Linked DNA regions of Anolis sagrei. Each later gene encodes a partner of the first gene's protein in a complex. Links are inferred from orthologs where the notes say so. Each region holds a gene or a part of one and is shown on either strand. Other genes may lie near its edges. The genes, in order: SART3 and USP4.

Region 1 (7,906 bases):
GTCCAGGAAATAAAGCCCGACTGCTCACTGGAGGGAAGGATATTAGAGGCAAAGATGAAGTCCTTTGGCCACATCATGAAAGGACAGGAAAACGTGGAGAAGACAATCATGCTGGGAAAAATGGAAGGGGCCAACGAAGGGCAAGATGGATGGATGTTATCCTTGAAGTGACTGGCTTAACTTTGAAGGAGCTGGGGGTGGCCACGGCCGACAGGGAGCTTGAGTTCACAAAGAGTCGGAAGTGATTGAACAAATAACAACAACAACAAACACTATTATTACCATTACTATTATCGTCAGTATTAGTACCATTAACATTATTACCACCAGTATTATTACCATTATACTTATCATCTTCATAATCAGTATTACATTATCATCATCAGGATTACCATTATTATCATCAGTAGTAGTACAATTATCATTATTATTACCATTATCATCAGTATTATTAGCAATATCATCATCAGTATTATTACTATAATTTTTATCATCAATATTATCATTCTTATGATTAGTATTTATTACCATTATCATAACCAGTAGTATTACCATTATTATTATATTATTATGATTGTTATCATAATTATTATGATTATCATCACTAGCATTATTACTATCCCTTTTCTTCTCTCCCAAAGAAGGCTCTGAGCGGCGCATGCGCACAAATATCCTACAAGATGTGTCCAATATCTTTCCTGACCCTAACTAGTTTCCCCGGCCTCCAAAGTGCTTGGGACTGCTGCTCCCAGAATGCTCGGCCACAGGCCAAGGCAGCCGAGGCTTCTGGGACTCGAAGTCCCAAATGCCAAGAAGGGGCTTCCAAAGGCCAGCGAGGCCGAGCTTTCTTTTGGGCCTAGAAGCGGAGGAAGCCTCGGGCTCACCTTCTCGTGGTAGCCCGCGACCAGGGAGGTGGAGGCCGGGCCCGGGCGAGGCCGCAGAAGGGCTGCCGCCGCGCTGCGCACGCTGCTTGCCCGAAGCGCCGCCATCTTGAATGTTTTGAACAGAGGACAGTGGAGGGCAACGGGGGCGTGGCCCCCGGGGGCGTGGCCGCCAGGGGAAGAGCCGCAAGGGCGCCATAGGTCACGCCTCCTTGTGTCGTCACTCCCTTCGCTAAGCCCAGCAAAAGGGGGGGGGGGGGGGGGAAACGCGGTCAGGAGTTAAGCCTTTACCTTCCAGAGGTTCTTTTCTCAAACTTCCAATATTATTATTCCAATAACAATAATTCCAAGTCCCACCAAGTACAGGGTCGAGGTTAATCTTTGTATGTTGTGGATTTTGAACTGTACTTTAATGTTATATTATTAATAATATTATTCCAATATATTAATTTTATTGGGATAATAATAGATTATTAATAATGTTATTTGAATAATAATAATCTTTGTATGTTGCGGATTTTAAATTGTATTTTAATGTGATATTATCATTCTAAGAATGACTATAATGAATGACTCTAAAGAATGACTCTCCCTGCAGACATCAGACAGGCGCCCTCCCTTATGTCCTTCCGAAAAAGCCTTAAGACATGGCTGTTCGAGAAGGCATTTAATTAAGTGCTATAAAAATGTGGTAAAGACGACTGGAAAGGAACAAGGAATATGAGATTGGTTATGATTCCACTATGAGACGAAGCGGATTTTTAGTGTAATTTTTGTAATTGTTGTATTGTTAATATGTTGTTGTAATTGCCTCTTTGTAAATTGCCTTTTTATATGTGTTGTACACCGCCATGAGTCGCCCTAAAGGGCTGAGAATGGCGGTTAATAAATGCATCAAATAAATAAATAAATAAATAAATATAAAATTTTTCCAATATTATTATGATTCTAATAATGATTCCAAGCCCCAGCAAGCATATCACATGAAAATAAAGTTTAAAGTTCACAACATACAAAGATTAACATTCATCGTGTGTTTGCTGGGACTTGGAATTATTATTAATGGAATTATCATTATTAATATTATTAGTAATATTAATTTGAATAATATATTAATAATAATATTCCAATAATAATAACAGTATTATTCCAATATTATTGTACTATTATTATTATTGCATTATTAATAATAATATCACATTAAATTACAATTAAGAATCTTTAATGTGATAATAAATATTAATATTCCAATAATGATAATACTAATGTTCATTCGTTCAGTCGTCTCCGACTCTTCGTGACCTCATGGACCAGCCTACGCCAGAGCTCCCTGTCGGCCGTTACCACCCCCAGCTCCCTTAAGGTCAGTCCAGTCACTTCAAGGATGCCATCCATCCATCTTGCCCTTGGTCGGCCCCTCTTCCTTTTGCCTTCCACTTTCCCCAGCATAATTGTCTTCTCTAGGCTTTCCTGTCTCCTCATGATGTGACCAAAGTACTTCAACTTTGTCTCTAGTATCTTTCCCTCCAGTGAGCAGTTGGGCTTTATTTCCTGGAGGATGGACTGGTTGGATCTTCTCGCAGTCCAAGGCACTCTCAGCACTTTCCTCCAACACCACAGCTCAAAAGCATCGATCTTTGAAACATAACAAGATGAGTCCACAGCAGACAAGATCACTCTGCTGGCTGATATATTGGATCACACGTCATATTATTATTATTATTATTGGAATGATATTAATAATAAAATCACATTAAAGTACAATTTAAAATCCGCAACATGGAAAGATTAAAATCGATCCCATCCTTGTTGAGAGTTGGAAGAATTCTTCTTCTTATTTGATTAATATTGGCATATTTTTATTGTTACTATGCTTCTTTCAAGGGCCAGCAAGCATAGGCTGCCATTGAAGGACAAGGAAACTGACACACTCTTGATGGCCGCCCCGGCATCCTAAGCCGTGCTTCCGGAAAGGACATAGTTTGACCTTCCTTCAAGCCCCCAAGCAGAGGCGTCTAACGGACCGCTTGCTGGAAAGATGCAGGCGGCCAAAACAGTCGCGTCATTTCCCGTCAGGCAGTGGATTAGACAGCTGAAAGGGCTTAACGGCGGAGAAAGATGGCGGACGGCGGCGAAGCTGAGGCGTCGTTGTGGGCCGCAGGAGGCTCGGAAGGGGACGAGGAACTGGAGTCCGAAGACTCCTCGGAGGCCGACGAGGAAAAGGAGAACCAGGCTGAAATTCAGCGCTTGGAAGAGCAGGTGAGGGCCCCGGAGCGGGGCTTCGCGCGGGGCGGGGCTTCGCGATGGGAGACCACGCCCCCTGAGGAAGCATGGCTTGCATTGCATCCAACTTCCAATGCCTCCTTCTGTTTGATGCAGGTTTTCAATGTCATGGTTTTTTAAAAAAATATGCCTCAATCTAGAGATCAGAGATATAATAGTATGAATAATGATATTAAAATATAACTAATAATCATATATAAATAATATATACATTTAATGGATAACCTTAATAGCCTTATATTTTACAATATTAATATAATATATAAAATAATATAAAAATAATATAATTATACATGTTATCTATATAATATAAATGTAAGGGGAATAGTATGAAGGCTGGGTCTGGAAGCTCAGAGTGTTACACTGTTTCCGCTTTGCTCCTTCGGGAGCGCTGTTTGCGCAACGCAAAACGGAACACAAATATTATAGAAGGCATGTAAGAGTTCTTTAATGGTATTTATTTATTTATTTATTTACTCGAACCCTAAACCTTACCCTAACCCAAACCCTAAACCTTACCTTAACCCTAATCCTAATCCTTACCTGACCCCAAACCCTATTCCTAACCCTTACCTTATCCTAACCTTCCCCTCCATTCTATCCTTCCACCAAATGTAACTACGAAGTATAGTCCCACCCTCAGTGTGCCGATCTCCCCTTCCCTTATTCACAACCGCCATTGCGGAATGTGCGTAACGCTCGGAGCTTCTGGACCCAGCTATCATACTATCACCAATGTAAGTATAATAATATGTATATAAATATCTATAAATAATATATATATATATACATAATGTATATAAATACATAATGTAATTATATACATTGTGTGTGTATATATATATTATTTTATTTACTGCATTTTTACCCCACAATACCTCCACTATCTCTGTGTTAGACTACATAGAGAAGCCATTGAAATCCACAAGAAGCACGTGAACAATTTCAACAGAAAGAAAGAAACCATGAATATGAACAAAATCAGGATACAAGTATTAAAACACTCTGAAATCAGGACAGTAAATAAAGAACAACTCTAATAAACAGGGGAAATCCAGAAAGGAAGCAATCAGGGTCAGCAAACACCTCCCAACCAGGCAGGAAGCTGCCAGGATTTGAAACTGCTATTCAATGCTAATCAAGCTGGCAAGTGGCAACATTCACACTTGCCTCAAACAGTCAAGAGTTCTTTCTCCCACCTTGGACATTATTTCACAGATATACAGGGTGAAGCACCATAACTTCCTTTTTTCAAAACTTAATAAAACCCATTGTATGAATCAGAATTTTTTTATAATGTAGGTGCATACCTAAAGTTTTGTTTTACGTAGTTTTGAAGATCAAATTAGGTAGGTGATGTCCCCCATTCTCCATACACTGAGTAAACTGATTTCTAGCATTTGTCATGACTCTTGCCAGCATAGCAGGCGTTATGTTGGCAATTTCTTCCTGGATGTTGGTCTTCAAATCTTGTAGGGTCCTTGGAGGGTTCACATAAACACGGGATTTCAAAAAACTCCATAGAAAAAAAATCACAAGGGGCCAAATCTGGAGAGCGGGCCAGCCCCTCCAAATCCCCCCTAATTGAGATGAGGCGCTCTGGGAAGTGTTCCCTCAAAACAGCCATAGATGCTTTTGAATTGTGTTCAGTTGCACCGTCTTGTTGGAACCAAATGTCCCCTAAATCCAACCCATCTAGCCTTAGGAAAAAAATTCCTGTAACATGTTTACATACCAGTCCGAATTAACTGTCACTGCAATTTCATTTTCCTCAAAGAACCAGGGACCAATAATTCCAGCTGAGGAAATTGCACACCACACTGTGATTTTAGGTGAATGCAAAGGCTTTTGATGCAATTCTCGAGGATTGTTGTCAGCCCAGTAGCGCATGTTTTGTTTGTTGATGGATCCACACAAATGAAAATGGGCTTCATCACTAAAAAAACCCCAATAGTGTCCTCAGGAATGACTTCGAGAAGAACCTCACACGCGTTCCTCCAAGAATTGAAGTCATGTTCAGAAAGTTCCTGCACAATCGCCATCTTGTAAGGATGGAAATGAAGATCATCATGAAGAATTCTCCTCACAGAACGATCGGGAAGTCCAAGGGCAGACGCATGTTTGTGCGCAGAACGCCGTAGTGATCGCAACATTGAAGCTCTCACTGCCTCAATGTTCTCAGGTGATCTAATGGGCCGAGGGACTCCAGTTCTTTGTTTTGTCGCACTTGCAGTTTGTCTGAATGTAGTGACCCACGTCACAATTGATTTCCGTCTGGGACAGGGGCCAATGGGGCTAAATTAAAGCGAATCCGAAAGGCGCGCTGGGTTGCGATCACAGAACATCCGCTCGAAAAGTAGGCCTCAACGGCAGAAGCACGCTCCTCACTGTTCCAACGCAGGATGGCGACTGAACTGTGTCAGGACAAAACTTTATACTCCCGCCTCTTGAATGAGACCACTAGCGCTCCGTTACGTCTTCAACCGACTGAATGGCACGCATTTTAAAAAAGGAAGTTATGCTGTCGCACCCTGTATAAACCCTACTTGCCTAGTTTTCAACAGACCTCACAACGTAAGAGGATGCCTGCCATAGATGTGGGCGAAACGTCAGGAGAGAATGCTTCTGAAACATGGCCAGGCAGCCCGGAAAACTCATAGCAATCCAGTCATTCCAGCCATGAAAGCCTTCAACAGCACATGGCATGGATTTCATCCTACTTCCATTGCCTCATTCTCTTTGTTGCAGTTTTTAAATGTCATTGTTTTTTCTTTAACTGGCTTTGGTCCCCGGCATTGCCCGGGTTATTTGAAAAATTGTACAAAATTCATGAGGTTGTGGGTAAACTACAACTCTCATCATGCCAGGTTAACCCCAAAAGCTCAATCAGTACTTAAAGTTTGTTATGTTGGGCAAGTTTGCTCTAAATGCATCACGGGTGGGGTTTAGTGTGCTCTTTGGCTTTAGGGTAAACTGCAACTCCCATTATGGGGAGTCAGTTCCCTCAAAACTCTCCAGTAGGTTGAGTTAGTCATGGAAGATCTGTGTGCCAAGTTTGGTCCAGGTCCATCATCAGTGGAGGTGACAGTTTCTCTGGTTGCAGGTGAACTAAAACTCCTAGAAAGAAATGCCAGTTCCCCCCAAACCCCTCCAGTAATCAAATCTCGGCATAACAGGTATGTGTGCTGAGTTTGCTTTAGATCCATCATTGTTTGGGTTTACAGTGCTCTCTCAATCTAGGTGAACTGCAATTCCTTCAAATCAAGGTGAATTTCCCCCAGTGTATTTGCTTTACACTGTTTCTGTCTGTAAGCCGCCCGGAGTCCTCTAGGGGAGATGGGGCAGTATATAAATAAAGATGTAGTCGTAATTGTTATTATTATTATAATATATAAGTAATATATAATAATATATGTAAATAATAATATATGATATAAATAATATGTATAAACAATGTGAATAATATTATAAGTGGGGTATAAATAAATGTAGTAATAATAATTTATAAATAAATAGAATAAGAAGAATTAATAATATTAATTAGGCTTTAGCAACTCCAAATTGCTGCAGTCTTTGTAATGTGAGGCGCACATATGATTTGATGGCGCATTAAACTCGATCAATGCAGTGAATGAGTCAAACCCTCTTTTGCCTTCTTCCAGCTCTCGATCAATGCCTTTGACTACAATTGCCACCTGGATCTGATCAAGCTGTTGCATCAGGAAGGGGAGCTGGTGCGGCTCCGCAGGGCCCGCCAGAAGATGAATGAACTTTTCCCTCTCACCGAAGGTAGGCTTTGGAATAAAATCTGTGACTTAATCAACACTGTACTACAAGACATGTAGCACAATTGAGATCAACACAGGCTGGATCTATACTGCCATATAATCCACTTTCTGAATCCAGGTGATCTGCTTTGAACTGGATTGTGTGGCAGCGTAGACTCATATGATCCCTTTCAAAGCAGATCACCTAGATTCAGAAACTAGATTATATGGCAGTTTAGATCCAGTCTGTGTTGATCTCAGTTGTGCTACATGTTTTGTTCTTCTGGTGATGCGTTAGAAATGAGAATGGCATTGCATTAATTTCTTTACATTTGGCCAGGCTTTAGATGTCAAAACTGTGAAAATGAAACAGAAGTTCAGCCTTTCTGAAGGTCTAGAGCAGGGGTCCACAAACCTTTTAAACAGAGGGCCAGGTCACAGTCCCTCAAACTGTTGGAGGGCTGGATTATAATTTGAAAAAAACATCAATTAATTCCTATGCACACTGCACATAGATTTGTAGTGAAAAACCACCTAAAACAATACAATAATTAAAATGAAGAACAATTTTAACAAATATAAATTTATTAGTATTTCAATGGGAAGTGTGAACCTGCTTTTGGCTGATGAGATAGGATTGTTGTTGTTGTGTGCTTTCAAGTCGTTACAGACAGGTTGACCCTAAGCAAGGGCCGGGTAAATGACCTTGGAGGGCCGCATTCGGCCCCTGGGCCTTAGTTTGAGGACCCCTGGTCTAGAAAATTACTTAAATGACAGAATGCAACACATTCTCCAAATTAGTTTCTGGTAATGCTATCATTCTCAGAAGTCAAACTGTGTTTTCCAGAGCTCTGGCTTGACTGGCTGAAGGATGAGATTCGCATGGCTTCTGAAAACTCTGAGCGGGAGAAGATCTATGAGCTCTTTGAGAGAGCAGTGAAGGACTACATCTGTAAGCAGTTTCTTTTTCAGCCC
Region 2 (7,906 bases), on another chromosome or scaffold:
TTTTAATGCAAGAAGAACATCTGAAGTTCAAAATAGCCACTAGCAGTAGCTAAGGTCAAAAGATAAGAACTGAAATATAGCAGCACATTACTTTGCAATGATATATGTATATCAGACAAACAGCATTTACCATTTTACAGGAAATTAGCTATTTTCAACAGAATGTAAAGAATACTACAAGGCACCCCCAGAAAATAGCAAACTATTCCTGCTCTGTATAGTTTTCTAAAAAATTATTATAAGGCATGTAGAAGTGTTGAAAGAGGACTTGTGGCATTAAGAATGACTCACCCACAGTATCTGCTTTGCTGAAATAAGAGCTTACAAGATTAGTAGAGTCGTTGTTTTGACATAGCTTCAACTCCAAAAGATAAACCTCTACTTTACAGTGCTTCACAAACAATCCATACTCCACAACCTAAGAAGAAAAAACTTTTTGTGAGACAGGTACAAACATCTAGACAGCAAAATATTTTATGAAACCAGCCCTTCATTTTCACTTCTATCACATTTTTAATGGATATAAAATCTGTAGCAAATTATTCTTGCTCAAATCCACTCATTTATAAACACATTGTCAGTCATTTTATTTATCTAAGCAAAGATTCTATAAAACTGCATGTTCAGTTCCCAGTAGTCTTTAGCCATACATATCTACTGGGGAGGGACAGCTGCCTCTTTTTCTTGCTCTCAGATATCTTCCCAGGACATTATAAAGAGTGGAACCCTGAAAAATGTACAACACTTTGCAAATTTCAGACAGATACAAGGGATTTAAATTAAAGAAGTTTGTATTTTTAGAAAAGGTGCCACAGAATCCTTGTGTTTTGTGGCCAAGTTGCACAAACACTTACAAAGTTAAGATGCTCCAGCATTTTTTTTAATCCCTGAAAATTTTCAGGAGGACAGGTGGAGGAGTTGTGACCAATATGTGACCAATTGAATGGCAATAACATTACAAGAAAAGTGTAGGAAGCTGCCAGGACAGTGATAGATATGTACAGGTGGGAAAGGCAGAACACAGCTGGTTAGAATTACAACTGAGCAACAACTCCCAAGACTAGACTCTTCTAGTCCTATATAAAAGTCAGAAAAGTGAAGGAAAGTCAATGCAGACATGTCTGTTTCTTGATCAGAGAGAAATGCACACAGTTAGACAGGAATTTTTGAAAACAGAACTCAATGGGATTTATTTCTGAACCACATACAGACAGATTGCACCAGAAATCATACTAGGATCACAAACACTTACTTTCCTCACAATTGGCTTCTGTCCCTCTATACAGCCATACCAATTTACTAACTTATTCCAGGCTTCAGTAGGAACCAACACATAATCCAATTCATCAATAAGGTGCTCTTTCAAAGTCTGAGTTTCTGAATCTAAAAGGAAATGGAATAAGTTACACTCAGAAAAATGAGCAAACAATTCAACACACAGCCATCCTTCAAAGCAGCAGCCAAACAGATACCTTTGAAAATCTTCACAGGCAATTCAAATAGTCATGCCCATGTGGAGTGTTACTCAGAAACCATTACCTTGTGTTCAAAAAATAAAACATCTAATCTATTCAAATACATTTTCAAACTGTGTGATATTGAAGGCTTCCTAAAATTGTACCGCACAGAACTGGAAGATAAAGCAAATAAGAATTTATAAAACTAAAGGACACATACTATTTTTTTCATAATGGTATGCAGCAATGGACATGATCTTCCAGCCTATAGGACCAAACTGACCCACTAGACTCAGCCTACAAGTAATGTTCCTCTCCTAAGTTCTGCTACTTGTTTTGGAGTGATTCTCCCACAGGCAGTTTGCCATTCCAACTGGGAAAACAAGCTGCAGGCCAGGGAGAATCCTGCTGTTGTCACTGATCTCAATGGAATGTGAAATAAAGCCTTGGTATTACCAATTTATGAAGCCAGTTTCTACTTCTTTTTGCACATAGAAGAAAAGCATGATTTCTAGGAGAAAGAAGAGTCAGATGACTGCCCCCTCTCCACGTACACAGATTGGTCCTCAGGGCAAACTTCCCCCACCCTTGATATAGAGAGTTTCTAAAGAAAACAAGTAATTTAGTACTGCTTTCTGCCAAATTCATGACAGTCACAACTTTCTGTAAAATGTGTCATCTTAAACCTATTGAAGGCCTGTTCAAATATTATTTCCAGCTGACTCTAGTTTCCCTTTCACTTTTCCCTGGAAGTTCCCTGAAAGGAGGAGCAACACTGAAATCCAAGCCCAAGGATCTTCAGAATACTAAGGGGGGCAGCAAATGAAAAGATATTTAGATTTTAAGTGCGTCACTTTACCAAGTTCAGCATATCACAAACCTGATCCTTGCATCAATGTTAGAAAACTGATTGAGAACTAAAGCTCTAAGAAGGAACTGATTGAGACATCCAAAGATTGCAAAACACATATGTCTAAACATCTGAAGTTCAACGGCCCACTAAATATACCAACTTATGAAGGGGCTGTGATCATATCTGCCACCAGCATATGTCTTCTTTAGTTCTCTTTCTGTTTTTATGTAAGAAAAAAAAACCCTCACAATCAGCACTAAGTGAAGGAATGGAAGGTGAGCAAACAAATGGCAGTAAGGGTGTGAGAAGCAATTGTTGAGACACTAATTTAAGGGTGGAATCTCTCCTCTCGAATTCAAAAGCAGTTTGGATTGCAACACTTGCTAGAAACCAATTATAACTTCCACAACCAAGAGTTTATTACAAGGGAGGTCCAAATATTACTTCAGAATTAGGAAAACACGCCTAGAAGAGGCTGGAATATGAGGGCATAAAGCCTCCAGATATATTCGCCCTTGCCAAACCCACACAACCTACCCTCCCCAACCCTTTTTATTTCCCCCCAACCATGTTTACCTGCAAAAAGCCCTGAGTTGTCAATGGGTCCTGGGTAGAGATTAGGCTCCCCCACATTATACAGGTCCCAGCTGTCAAAGCCCACGTACTTCTTCCACTGCTTGAACCACCGGCTGTCAATCAGGTACCTACAATTATGAAACGAAAAATGCACCGAGGTGAGTGTGCGTGGGGCGGCCCAAGATTCAGGAGAGAGGGAAGGAAGGAAGGACGGGAAGGCATTGCTAAGGGTCGACGGGGCGGTGACTCAGCAGCACCCCTTCGGGGCAGCCGGCTAGGGAGGGAGGGAGGCAGGAGGAAAGAAGAAAGGTCCTTCAGGGCCGCCGTCCCGCGCGCACTGCTCCCTCCTGCCCAGCCCCCTCCCTCCGGCCGCGCGCGTGGCCATTCGGAGGCCAACGGCCCCCGCGGGGAAGGGGGGGAGGCGCGCGGCCTAGCCCCGAGCCAGCCCTCCTCCTCCTCACCAGGACTCCCCCGGGCACAGCGGCGTCCCCAAAAGCGGCGTGAGCTCAGCCCGCTGCGTCCCCGCGTCCGGCCTCGGGCTGGCCGTGGCTCCTCCGCCGCCGCCGCCGCCGCCACCGCCGCCGCCCTCGAACCCTGCTTCGGCGGCCGCCATGACGGTTGCGCGCGCTGCTGCTGCCGGCCGGCCAGTTCTCCTCTCCTCTCTTCTCAACTGCGGCTCGCCTTCTTCGCCCGTCGCACGCCCAAGGGCGGCACTGCGCATGCGCGACCTCGACGCCCAGGCCCTGGCGGATGAGAACGGCAGGCCGCCCGAGAGACCCGGATTCAGCCTGGCCTTGCGCGAAGAGGGCAACGACGAGGGTGCCCGCCCGGGTCCATCTGCACCGAAGAGTGGGTGCGGTTTGGCAGCTCTTTCACTGACATGGCTTCATGCGCTGGAATCCTGGGAGCTGTAGTTTGGTGAGGCACCCACACAATTTGCCTGAGGAGGCTGAAGACCTTGTAGAACAGCACCTCCCTTGATTCCACAGCATGGAGCCATGGCAATTAAAGTGGTGCCAAACTGCATTTATTCTACAGCAGGCCTGGGCAAACTTGGGCCCTCCCTTCAGGGGTTTTGGACTCCAACTCCCACCATTCCTAACAGCCTCAAGCCTCCTTCCTTTTGCTTAAGCGACTGAATGGGAAAAAGGAAGGGACCTGAGGCTGTAAGGAATGGTGGGAGTTGGAGTCCAAAACATCTGGAGGACCCAGATTTGTCCATACCTGAGCGACAGTGTAGATCAGGAGTCCTCAAACTTTTTAAACAGAGGGCTGGGTCACAGTCCCTCAAACTGTTGGAGGGCCGGATTATAATTTGAAAAAAAAACCCATAAATTCATATGCACAGTGCACATATCTTATCTGTAGTGCAAAAGACACTTAAAACAATACAATAATTAAGATGAAGAACAATTTTAACAAATATAAACTTATTAGTATTTCAATGGGAAGTGTGGGCCTAGTTTTGGCTGATGAGATACGATTGTTGTTGTGTCCTTTCAAGTAGTTTCAGACTTAGGTTGATCCTGAGCAAGGGCCGGGTAAATGACCTTGGAGGGCCACATCCGGCCTCTGGGCCTTAGTTTGAGGACCCCTGGTGTAGATGCACCCTTGAAAAACTTTTTAAAAGAGTCTCTTAAACTGGACTGTGATCAGAATCATGTAACTGGGATGTGAAACTGGGTTGCTGGCCATTTTCCAGAAGCATTGTCTCCTGATGCTTCGCCTGCGTCTATGGCAGGCATCCTCAGAGGTTGAGAAACTGGAAGTTGCTTCTGGTGTGAGAGAATTGGCCGTCTGCAAGGATGTTGCCCAGGGGATGCCCAGATGTTTTACCATCCTGTGGGAGACTTCTCTCATGTCCCCACACAGGAAGCTGGAGCTGATAGACAGGAGCCCACCCTTCTCCCCAGATTTGAACCACTGACCTTTTGTTCAGCAGTCTTGCAACTAAGAGTCAGGCAATAGCTAGTAAGTGAATTGTTGTGAGAACAGTCTGTTTGGCACTATTGTTAGTTTTATGACTGGTTGAAGTATCCTGTTTCTTAGGCCCCTTCCACAGTTATATAACCCAGAATATCAAGGCAGAAAATCCCACAATGTCTCCTTTGAATTGAGTTATCTGAGTCCATATTGCCATATATTCCAGTTCAAAGCAGAAAATGTGGAATTTTATTCAGCTGTGTGTAAGAGACCTCTTATTTTTCCCCATAAATATAGTAGAACTCTATGTGAGATACCAGCTCTCCTTCCATTTGTATTAAGCTTATATTTAAGCCATAGCTTCTGGCTCTCATTGCTCACCTGTCATCATGTCACAGTAATAAGCAAGCTAGGTTTAGAATTTACTGGTTTGGGGTATTTAATAACTAGCAGCTTATACTAAAACAATGGCATATAAAAGAGGCATAACACCTGAATAAATCTCCACAAATTTCAACTCCAGAAGTGTCACCAGTTTTACAAATATATAAAAAGGCAAATGTATTTAGTTCTGAAAAGCTCAGAGGATATATGCTAGGTGAGTCTTCCTACAGAGATTTCCCCATCTATGTAATGTGTTGTACAGTCAGGAAAGCTCTCTGCTCTGTCCTTTCAGCTTTGGGTTTCCAAAACTGAAAGGGAGGGCTTTAGGCAAATTTGTTTCAGTTGAGTATGGAAATTGAAGCAGATGACAATGTTACTCTGTATATGCTACCCACTCCTCTGATCTAGTTTGGCTTTTATATTCTAACTTCAAGGAGGGCTATTTCATTTTAACTGTTCAATATATTGTGCTGTTGGAGGTGAAAGACTCTAGCTCTTAGGGCATCTTGGAAAAGGTAGTAAGATATTCAAGATGGGGTGTTTTTGTTGTTTTTTAAAAAACTTAACTAACCAATTTGATCAAGACAGAAGTGAATAATAATGTAGACTGCAGACTCTGAGATCATTGTAAATATAGTAGTAAAGTGTCCTCATCATGCATTATCTGAACAAAAACTGGAACAAATAAGTGAATTTGTGTTGCAATACAAATAGCTCAGTTATAGCTATGGTTTTCAAGCATTTTATTGTTTGACAATGATTTTCACAAACTGCTGCAGTCAACTGTTTTCCCAATTTAATTTACTATAGCTTCACACAAACTTTTAGAAGATCAGGTGCTTTTCAAGGCTTTAGAAAAAGCACCATCATGAATAAAATTTTGATAGAGAATAGAAAATTAATATCAAGAAAACAGCTGACAAGTCATAGAAAAATAAGCAGTGCAGAAAAGGACAAAGTCTGGTACTCAGGAGTATTGCTGCTTCACAAAGTATGATTTTAAGCCATACATGCTACAGCACATTGTGTTGATACTAAACTGTAATATTTGAAACACATATCTGGAATGTTTAATGTGTATGCGGACTAGGGATGAACAAAAGATTGATAGACTTAGCAGAGATACTATGCTGTAATGGGTACCTATTAACTTTATAGCACATTTAGAAACCACAAGACATAAGTGTCACCTTATGCCTTATAGGTGAGAGGAAATAGCTAAAGGTACAATTCACATTATAGCATAAAAACAAACTGCTCAATTTCAGAAAAGCTTTGCTGTTGTAATTCACATACATAATTTCCCTTCACACAATGAGATTGCTGTGTTTAATATGGGACATACAATAAATGTACTGTAACATGGGAATTAATACATTCAACCCTAGGGTAATTCTAGCTGAAAGCAAAGAGGTGGAAAGACATTTCAGCAAGATATAATATGGTTTGCTCTAAGGAACTTGTTGAAGCAGCTTTTCAATATCATCCTGGATCTTGATGGTTTCAAAGCGCCTGCTGTAGCGTTTGAATGGTTTCCCATCCGGACCAATGAGGAATTTTTCAAAATTCCATGCGATGTCATTGCGGCACACAGGAGACCAGATGATGTTCTGTGGGTGTGTCATCAGAGACACAGCGTCATCATGTGGGTATGGCAATTCTTCTTTCAGGAATTTGAAGAGTGGGTGAGCATTTTCCCCATTGACCTCACACTTCTCAAACACAATGAAGTTAGGCTCATACCCATTGCCTGGGCGGACATACTTCAGTGAGTTCAGGATCTCCTCATTGGTGGTATTCTCCTGTTAAAGGATAGAGGGGACACAATCTTAAATCCACAGCTCAGCAAATAGCATTTAATCCTTTGCTTCCCTCCAAACTTTGTCACTAGTAGTTAGATGAAATATAGCCAAAATATATTCTTATATACATTCCAATGGACTGATATGCCAGCTTTTCTACTTGCCATTGAAATTATGGAATTTTCAAATTTTTAAAAAATGTAACCTATTGCAGCATAAAAAAGATTTCATAAGATTTTATTGCCACAGCACTAACTTGAAGTTTTCGGTTTCTAACAGAAACTACAGTTTGAAAACGGAACTACATTTAGGGAACAGTTATCTGCATCCTCCAATACAGGAAAAACCCATAACATATTGCCCAATTGATCATAAGTATATTGGGGAGATGCTGCAGAAAGCATACTAGATGAATCCTTTCCTAGGAGTAAGCTATATACTGAATAATAAATACAGAATTTGACAAAAACTCAGACCCAAACCTGGGCAGGCCTATCTACAGGTTAATATGAGTGCTCTACTTTAACTCTCTCAGAAAAAGAACAATTCCTGCTCTGAGCAGAGTGGCAAAAGGTAACACCTTATTTATTTATTTCTTATACTTGTACCCTGCCCTTCTCACCCCTGAGGGGGGACTCGGGGCAGCCTCACAACAAACAACATTCGGTGCCATCATAATGATAAAAACAATCAACAAATTCATTCAAACAAAACATTAAACAGTTGTTAAAACATGCCAATTAAAATCCGGGTCCGGGTGAATTCATTATCACTTCAAAACTGCTTATGTCTTCTTCATACAAGCCGCTATTCAATGGTCAAACGCAAGGTCCCACAGCCAAGTCTTGAGCTTCCTTCTAAAGGACCTTAGCCTGCTCTGGGAGAACCTAAAGCGCTACTAACCCTCTCTG

What was found.
Region 2: the proteins of SART3 (region 1) and USP4 are in contact, whole or in part, in a crystal structure (PDB 5CTR), measured with the Homo sapiens proteins. The link is inferred for Anolis sagrei from reciprocal best matches to the Homo sapiens genes SART3 and USP4. Residues at the interface, in NP_055521.1 of Homo sapiens: Asp437, Ser438, Ser439, Lys440, Gln490, Arg493, Glu494, Trp496, Asp497, Met500, Thr501, Ala505, Trp511, Tyr514, Lys529, Arg533, Cys537; in NP_003354.2 of Homo sapiens: Met24, Thr27, Leu28, Ser53, Trp54, Glu123, Gly125, Leu126, Phe127, Val128, Lys129, His130, Cys131, Lys132.

What each region holds. Positions count from the first base shown.
Region 1 is NC_090034.1:29,969,800-29,977,705, forward strand, and holds the start of SART3 (squamous cell carcinoma antigen recognized by T-cells 3), read left to right. Parts: upstream 1-2,953; 5' UTR 2,954-2,999; coding exon 3,000-3,140; intron 3,141-6,826; coding exon 6,827-6,953; intron 6,954-7,778; coding exon 7,779-7,883; intron 7,884-7,906. Other genes in the region: iron-sulfur cluster assembly enzyme ISCU, read right to left, coding at 885-989. UniProt on the Homo sapiens protein: U6 snRNP-binding protein that functions as a recycling factor of the splicing machinery. Promotes the initial reassembly of U4 and U6 snRNPs following their ejection from the spliceosome during its maturation.
Region 2 is NC_090022.1:75,214,235-75,222,140, reverse strand, and holds the start of USP4 (ubiquitin carboxyl-terminal hydrolase 4), read right to left. Parts: upstream 3,704-7,906; 5' UTR 3,608-3,703; coding exon 3,348-3,607; intron 3,015-3,347; coding exon 2,887-3,014; intron 1,384-2,886; coding exon 1,253-1,383; intron 419-1,252; coding exon 292-418; intron 1-291.